2 linked regions of the Notamacropus eugenii genome follow. The protein of the gene in region 2 binds, or shares a complex with, the protein of the main gene of each other region. Links are inferred from orthologs where the notes say so. Each region holds a gene or a part of one and is shown on either strand. Other genes may lie near its edges.

The links.
Region 1: the proteins of RAB35 (region 2) and RUSC2 are in contact, whole or in part, in a crystal structure (PDB 6IF2), measured with the Homo sapiens proteins. The link is inferred for Notamacropus eugenii from reciprocal best matches to the Homo sapiens genes RAB35 and RUSC2. Residues at the interface, in NP_006852.1 of Homo sapiens: Asp4, Tyr5, Leu8, Phe9, Lys10, Ser22, Leu26, Asp30, Ile38, Thr40, Val43, Asp44, Phe45, Lys46, Ile47, Lys58, Gln60, Trp62, Thr76, Arg79, Gly80, His82; in NP_001129471.2 of Homo sapiens: Val997, Lys998, Asn1001, Asp1005, Val1008, Thr1013, Arg1015, Lys1020, Glu1119, Glu1155, Leu1158, Leu1159, Gln1161, Pro1162, Leu1165, Leu1166.

The regions. Positions count from the first base shown.
Region 1 is NC_092872.1:79,101,940-79,105,685, reverse strand, and holds the start of RUSC2 (AP-4 complex accessory subunit RUSC2), read right to left. Parts: upstream 2,681-3,746; coding exon 700-2,680; exon of another isoform or gene 1-699. UniProt on the Homo sapiens protein: Associates with the adapter-like complex 4 (AP-4) and may therefore play a role in vesicular trafficking of proteins at the trans-Golgi network.
Region 2 is NC_092875.1:25,157,436-25,161,181, forward strand, and holds the start of RAB35 (ras-related protein Rab-35), read left to right. Parts: upstream 1-1,436; 5' UTR 1,437-1,571; coding exon 1,572-1,623; intron 1,624-3,746. UniProt on the Homo sapiens protein: The small GTPases Rab are key regulators of intracellular membrane trafficking, from the formation of transport vesicles to their fusion with membranes.

The sequences.
Region 1 (3,746 bases), on a different chromosome or scaffold from region 2:
AGGTACCTATGTTGACTGTCTGTTGCCTGCTTCATCATGTCTAAACTTCTTACCCAAGGATTTTAAGGGCTTCCTTAATCTTACTCTACCCTTAATTATCCAACTTGATTTCACCTGCTTTCTAACATGTGCCCTCCATCCACTCCAGTCAGGTCAAGTCTTTTCAGTGTTTTCCTGAAGGCTGCATGTTGTGGTTATTTTCATTTCTGTACCTTAGTTCATTTATCCTGAGCTACAAATGCCCTCCACCCAGCCTGTCTGCACATCCAATCCCTATACCTCCTTCAAAGCAAAGCTCAAGTCCTGTCTTTTCTAGAAAGACTTTTCTGATTCCCCCACACCAATCTGTTTCTTCTCTAAATGCATTTGGAAACCTGATAATTTAATAAGGTGTTCTTATCTAACTGTCTCATATGTGTTGCTCCTATGTCCTCCACTAGACAGCTGGCCCCCTAAATACAGAAAGTGCATTTTATACAACTTGTGTTTCTCCCATAGCACCTCCTACCTCAGAATCTTTAGAATACTTCTGACTGGGAGTGTCCTCAAAGTTCTTTATTTCCCTAGAGTCTTCCATCTTTTCCCTCTACTCCAGACTCTATTCAGGTATTCCATAGACAGAGCCAGGAATGGTCCCCCAATGTACTGGCATTTGACATCCCAGACTGCTGTGGTTCAACTAGGTTACCCAATCCTTACCGTCAGCTCTAGCTCTTATATCCCTCTGTGCGTGGCTGCTGGCTGGGATCCCTGGGAAAGGAGAACTTGGCTCCACCAAAAGAGCCAGGGGTGCCTGCCCAGTAGCTCCAAAACTGGTGGGTTGCAACTCGCTGGATTGGGGACCCTGCTGGAGGCCATCCCTGCAGCCCTTGTCAGCTTGGGCTTCCAGGCTGCTGGGGTCCAGGCAGAGTCCAAGGGGAAGAGATGGTAGGCTGTGGCTACAGCGAGCACCCTCATCCAGTGCGCCTGCCCCATCCCGATGGGCCTCAGGGATGGGTGAGAACTCCAGGGAGGAGTCGCCAGTGCTCAACCGCAGGGGAGGTGAACCTGAGCCTGCACCTCTTTTTCGGCCCTTGGCCAGTTCAGCAAAGGAGGTGACCCGTCTGGGTGGGGAGCCAGTCCCAGTCAACGAGGAGGGCCCCTCACTCAGACGAACAGGGCAGCTCAGCATGCGCTCCAGGGACCCCAGTCTGTTTGGGGGGCTCCGTTCCAGACTTCGGTCATAGCTACGGGAACGCTGGCGCCCAATGCTGAGGTTGGGAGGAGACACGTTGACATATACTTGTCCCTCTATCAAATCTGGGCCCATCCCAGAACCCACTTCTGCTGGAGAAGTCTTGTCCTTTTGCTCCTCCGTCTGGGCCTCCGGCTTTTGGAATAGGTAGTATTCAGTGGGCTGGCCTGAGACTGGAACAGGACTGCCTTTTGTGTGTTCCTCTGAGCAACTGGTGATGGAGGAGCCAGCAGGGCTGGGGGAGGACTGTGAGGACAGGTCACAGGTGACAAGTTTGTAGTAGTTCTGTGTGGCCACCACAAGGCGGGCTTGGCTCTGGAAGCAGGCGGTGAGGTCAGCTGCAGCTGGGCAGGGCTCACAGTGTGGGCGGTAGGAGTTGCAGTTGGCATCTAGTTCAGGGGAGGATGCATGAGGGCAGCCACAGCCCTCATCTCCACCCCCACTGTCGGGGTGATGGGACTCATAGGACATCTTGGACTCAGCTGGGGAGGGGTGCAGGTCCAGGTAGAAGGCTCCAGGGTCTGAGTGGCTACAGAAGGACGAGTCACTGCAGGACAGAGGGGCGGAATTGAGATTGGCACGGGAGTGACCATGCATCTTGTTGTAGAGGGCACTGAAGGTGACCAATACACCATCTGAGCTGTTGCAGGAAGAATCGCTAACATAGCCCATGGACTGATCGGCCACCTCCGATTGGCTGGATGTGCTGCTGCAACGACAGCGTCGGGATCCTGAGCCTGAACAGCCACAGACTCGGACACCTGGGTTCCTTGGGGATTCATCTAAGCTAAGTTTCCACTCCTGGTCGAAGGTAAAACCAGAGTTGTCACTGGCCCCAGGGCCACCCCCCTCATCCAGCTCCATGGTCTCTGCCTCCAGCTCTGGGGGACAATGATGCCCACGGCTGCACTTCTGTGCTTCTGAACTGCTCAGAGGCTCCTGCTCCTGTCCTTCTATCACTCCAGCTCGACTGCTTGTGGCTCCCCAGGGTTTCCCTGTTCTGGGGCCAAGTGGTGCCAGCTGGAAAGGGGGCTGTCCACTTCCATGTAGGTGAAAGGACTGTTGGGTTAAACTGTCGCAATCTCCATATGCATCTTCTGGCTCACCCTCCTTCATTAGGAAAGGATTATGCCTTTTAGGAACTCCAGGACCTCTCCCATCTCGGCTCCTGCTTTTAGGACCATCCCCAGGCCCAACAGCACCTCCTGAGGCAGGCAGCACTCTACTGTAGAGCAGAGAGTCAGCCTGTGTCAGGTCTCTGTCAGGGTGGCCCAACTCAGGTGGACAGAAGGGGTTGGTCCTTGTACTTCCATTGCCCGCACCTCCACCCCCACAGCACTGCCTGTCAGGAACCTGGCAATGCACCAAGGGAATATGGTGGACGATGAGGGTTTCTCCTGTCAGCTTGGGGGGACTATCCATTCTGGAAAGTTCGGCTGAGGGCATCAATGGCCCCAGACACTGCCCCCGGAGCCCTCTGGGGCAAGACACATCTCATCAGGAAGGCCTGGCACCTGGAGAGACAGAAAAAGAGAGAAAAGGAACCCAATGTCACCTTGCCACAAGTGAGGAGCACACAGAACTTCCCACCATACCTAACATAACCTTCTCTTCTGTACCCCCCAGGATACACAGAACCCTGCCCCATTCTCAGGGACAGAAGATCTGGAAGGATCCTAGGATCATAAGACTTAGAGCTGGAAGGGACTTGAGATCATCTAGTCTAATACTCTCATTTTACAGATGAGGGAACTGAGACCCAGAGATGGGAAGTCTCTAAAGTTACACAGGTAATAAGTCACAGAGTAAAGATTAGAACCAATACAGTTTAATCCCAAACACAGCAGGCTCTGTGCCATCATAGTCTCGAGCTGTCTGTCCCCTGTGTTATCTAAGTCCTAGACTACATCCCAGGGCCTTCTCAACCTGGTTCCCTGAACCAGAACTTAACTCTCTTTAAAGCAGGAGTTTGAACCTGAGGCCTAAGGGGTCTGTGGACAGAAACAGGGAATAAGGGGTAGAGTTCAGACTTGTACTCTTGTTCTCCTTTGCCAAATCTAGAACTTTATTACACCATAAGGGCTTATTCCTGAAAGAATAAAATATGTTGTGGGAGGACCTAGATTCAGTTTTATGTACTTCTTTGAAAATTAATGCAAGCTTACAGGCTTGACCTCTCGAGTTCCAATATGTAATAGAGATTTTTAATATTCATTGTCTAGGAAATTTTGTCCATTTTCTGTTAGTTATTCCAAAAAGAAAAAATGCAGATAAGTCTTCAACAACAAATATTACTGGCTCTAATAGGGAACCAAGAAGCTATGATGGAAAAGTGGACAATAAGAGTATCCTCAAAAATGTTCATCATCTTAGCTTTTGGAACTTAAGCACAATGTCTGAGAGACTAATAATATCACATGTTGTATGTTTATCTTTCAATATTTTTTTCCATCTTCAGTGTTTAGCATGGGCTCTCTTTTAAGAAAACAAAGTGTAGATCTTTTGAAAAATA
Region 2 (3,746 bases):
TCTAAGTAGTCACACACATATATGCAGTCACAAGCAGTATATATGCGCATGTAAAAAAGAGACCAAATGAGAGGTTACCCAGGGAGGGAGGGTGGCCAGTGCTGGACCTGCATCTTCTGGCCATGGTCCACGGGAGAGGCCACTCTGGCTGAGGCATGGAGCAGGGGAAAGGGAGTTTCAGGCCTGGGTGGTAACAACCCTGAAGCTGGTGGTATGCCCAGACTCATGTCAGGGGCAGAGAGCAGGCCTGGAATTCACAGTTCTAGCCTATTTTCTCTGATTCTGAACTAAGATCCCACCGTCTTTGGCCTCTTTTTTCTAGTTAATTAACAATCACTTATTAATTAATAAGATTTGATAATCCATAAGTTATTAATTAAGTAATTAGTAAAAGAAGCCAGTGGTGCTCTACTAAGCCAAAGACCTGTCCGCGGCGTCTTTTTCTGAGTAATTAACAATCATTAATTAATGAATAAGATCTGATAATCAATAACAACCAGTTATTAATTAATCAGTAAAAGAAGACAGGGGCGCTCTCCCAAGTCAAAGTCCCATCTCCTGCATACAGCAGGCGCTTAATAAAGGTTACCTAGCTGATCCTAAGCCAGGGCTCGCCCCCGCTCACCCGGCACCTTTCCGAAACACTGGGTAGGGGAGAGGGGAAGGAAGTGGAGCCGCAAGCGCTGGGTTCGAGTCCTCCCTCGGTCCAGGGCGGCGGCAGACGGGTCGGCCCCACTCCAGGTTCCGCGGCCTCTCAAACTCTCGGGGTCCGCAAAGAGGGGACACTGCGGCACCTACCTCGTGGGGTGGCCGGGACGCTGCAGGGAGGAGAGGAGCTACAGAGGTGCCTGCTATCGGCGCACGAGGAAGCCCTCCGGCCCTTCCCGCCCGCGGCCACCGCGTCTGGCCTCGGCCCGGAGGTGGGTACTAGCCCGAAGGGAGGAAGAGCAGCGCGCGAAAGGCCTCCTCTCCACGCCTGCGCACCGCGCGAGGGCGGTGCGATGGGCCCGTCACGCATGCGCAGTAACGGAGCAGCCCGTCCTAGAGGCGGTGGCTGCGGCTGCGGCTGCGCAGAGCCCGTCGCAGGGAGTGAGGGGAGCGGGGGAGGCGGGGCGGCGGCGTTAGCGGCAGCGGTGGCGGCGTCCGTTCGCCCAGAGCCGGACGGACCGAGAGAGGAGGGTGGGGGTGGGTGGGTGGGGGAAAGTCAGGCGCCTGCGCAAAAGCGAGTGAGGGCGGGATTGTGCCTGGAGCGCGTGCGCAGAAGTGGGCGAGGGCGGGGCGGTGCCGCAGGCGCGTGCGCAGTGGCGACGAACGGGGCGGGGCGGGAAGCCGGGAGGCTAGGAGGGAGGGCGTGGGGGCGGGGGGGGCGAGGGGCGGAGGGAGGCGTTTCTGTCAGTTCCGGCTGTTTGTTCGGGAAGTGGATCCGCCGGGGCCCGGAGCTGCCGCGGCTCGCCAGGCCCACCCGCCCGCCGCCCGCCGCCCGCCCCCGCCCTGCGGCCCTCCCTCCCTCCCTTCCTCCCTCCCTCCTCTCCGGCCCGCCCGGCCTGGCCCGGCCCGGCCCGCCGCCCGCCATGGCCCGGGACTACGACCATCTCTTCAAGCTGCTCATCATCGGCGACAGCGGTGAGCGAGGGGCCAGGGCGGCGGCCGGGCCCGGACCCCTGGGCGGGAGGGAGGGAGGGCGGTGCCCGGGGGAGGGGACGGTCGGGGGAGGGGCGCGCGGCCGAGCGGGGCCGGGGCGCCGGCCCCCGTGACCCCGTCCGCAGGGGAGGGCAGAGGCCGTGGGAAGCCGTGACCTCGGCCTGGGCTGGGGGGCGGGGCGGGTGACCCCGGGTTGGGGAGCGGTTGCGGAGGCCCGTGACCCCTTTCCGGAGAGGAGGGTGGAAGAGGGCAGGGGTCGTTGGGGCGGCGACCCCGGCCCGGAAAGGGAGGCTGCGGGCAGGGATTGGGGATTGGGGCGCGGTGAGGATCGGGCACGATTTGGGGGGAGCAGGGGGGTGTGTGTGTCTGTCGGGGCTCCAGTGTTGGCGCTGTGGATGGGGAGGGGGGAGGAGAGCCCTGGGGGGTCGTCCCCGACTTGTGACCTTGCTGAAGGCGCTTTTCCCACGCCCTTCCCTCCCTCCCTCCTCGCCCCCCTCCCCCAAAGGAAGCAGGGGAGGTGGGCTGAGCACCACACACCAAGGACCCGAGCGATCATGCAGTCACTCAGGAAACTGAGGCCGGGAGGAGCGATTTGTCCAGTTTGCAAGTGACAAGAGTGGGATTTGAACCCAGGCCCCGGGCTCCAAGTGTAGCCACTTTCCCGGGCACTTGTGCAGAGATGGAGCCCTGCTGGGTTTCTGTTTCAGCGGGGCAGGTTCCTCTGAGGGCTGCAGAGGGGCCCTTCGTGTGGTTCGGGTGGGGAGCCCAAGGGTGAAAAGGGTCACGGGGTGACGGGGTCAGAAGGGCTGAGGAGGGCAGTGTGGCAGGTGTTCGAGGATTAGGAGGAAAGGGGAGGAGGCTTGGGAGCATGGCAGCTCTAGGCGATGGTCAGGGCCCAGTGTGGAAGAGGCTGTCATGTGATTGGTGGCAGAAGCAAGGTTGAAAGTGGAGCATATTGGGTGTTATAAAAAGCTTATGTTGGGGATGGTGCCGGGAGGATGAAAGGATTTAACAAAATTGGTTATAGACTGAGGCAGTAGGGGACAAGGGAGTAAGTCTGTTGTGGGGAGGGAGCCGGGAGAGCAGTGCTACCTGGTTGTTGGGATGGATATGGGCTGGTGCAGTGGTTTGGATAGGTCAAACAGTGGTGAGCTTTTATGGGCACAGTTGGAAAGTGAAAGGCAAGATCTCTTTGAGGTTTAGGGGATTAAAAAGATAGAGGCTGCTGGGGCTGAGGGATCCTTTCCTCGGTTTCTCTTTTTTCCTTCCTGAGTAGAATATAATTATGCTGCCTTTCTTTTGAAGATGAGTGGCCTTTAGAATTTATTTGTATACTCAGTGCACCATATGCCTTTTCAGGGGTTATATTTTAGTTCCAGATGGGGCAAAGGAATGGGGAAAGGCAGAGTTCTACGACTGAAGGTGATTTCCCTTTCCAAAGAATTAGTGTACTCAGTTGTTGTGGTTATGGGCCTTGTTCCTCAGGAGGACATCTGGATTTTGAGTGGAAAGGCTTGTTGTACTTTGAGATCTTAAAATGAAAAGCTGACTCGTAAATCTGATTCCCCCCCCTTTCTAAAGTCCAGGAAGTAGTTTTGACCTTGTTTCCCACAATACTTCTTGACATTGTGTGTGGTGTGTGGTAGGCCTCTTTAGGTCATGATTTATGTAGTTTTGCTCATATAACAGTCTATGAACATTTTCTGGCCAAGGTGTGTGGAAGTGGAAGTAAGAGAAGTTCTGGTCTGGCTTTGTGTGTAGTGACTTGTGTTGTGGGGCCTCTGGTGCTCCTCAGCCCTGAGCATGTTTGGGAGGGGAGGCTGAATGTGAGTAGCCTAACTTCACACATTATTCTGGTCTGAGAGGCCCTAAATTGTCTGCAGAGTTGGGGCTGGGAGCATTAACTGACCAGGGAGCTCATTCCCTCCACACAGACTTAAGCTCTTCATGCCTCAAGTGCAGTACTGCTCCTTTGAGGGTGTCTTAGTTTAGACTCTGAATTAAGAATGCTACATTTGGGATTTACCAGGGCATGGTGGCCACTGACCACTCCCATCCTTCAATTTGCAGTGTAGATTAACTGCTCAAACCACAGGAAAGCATCA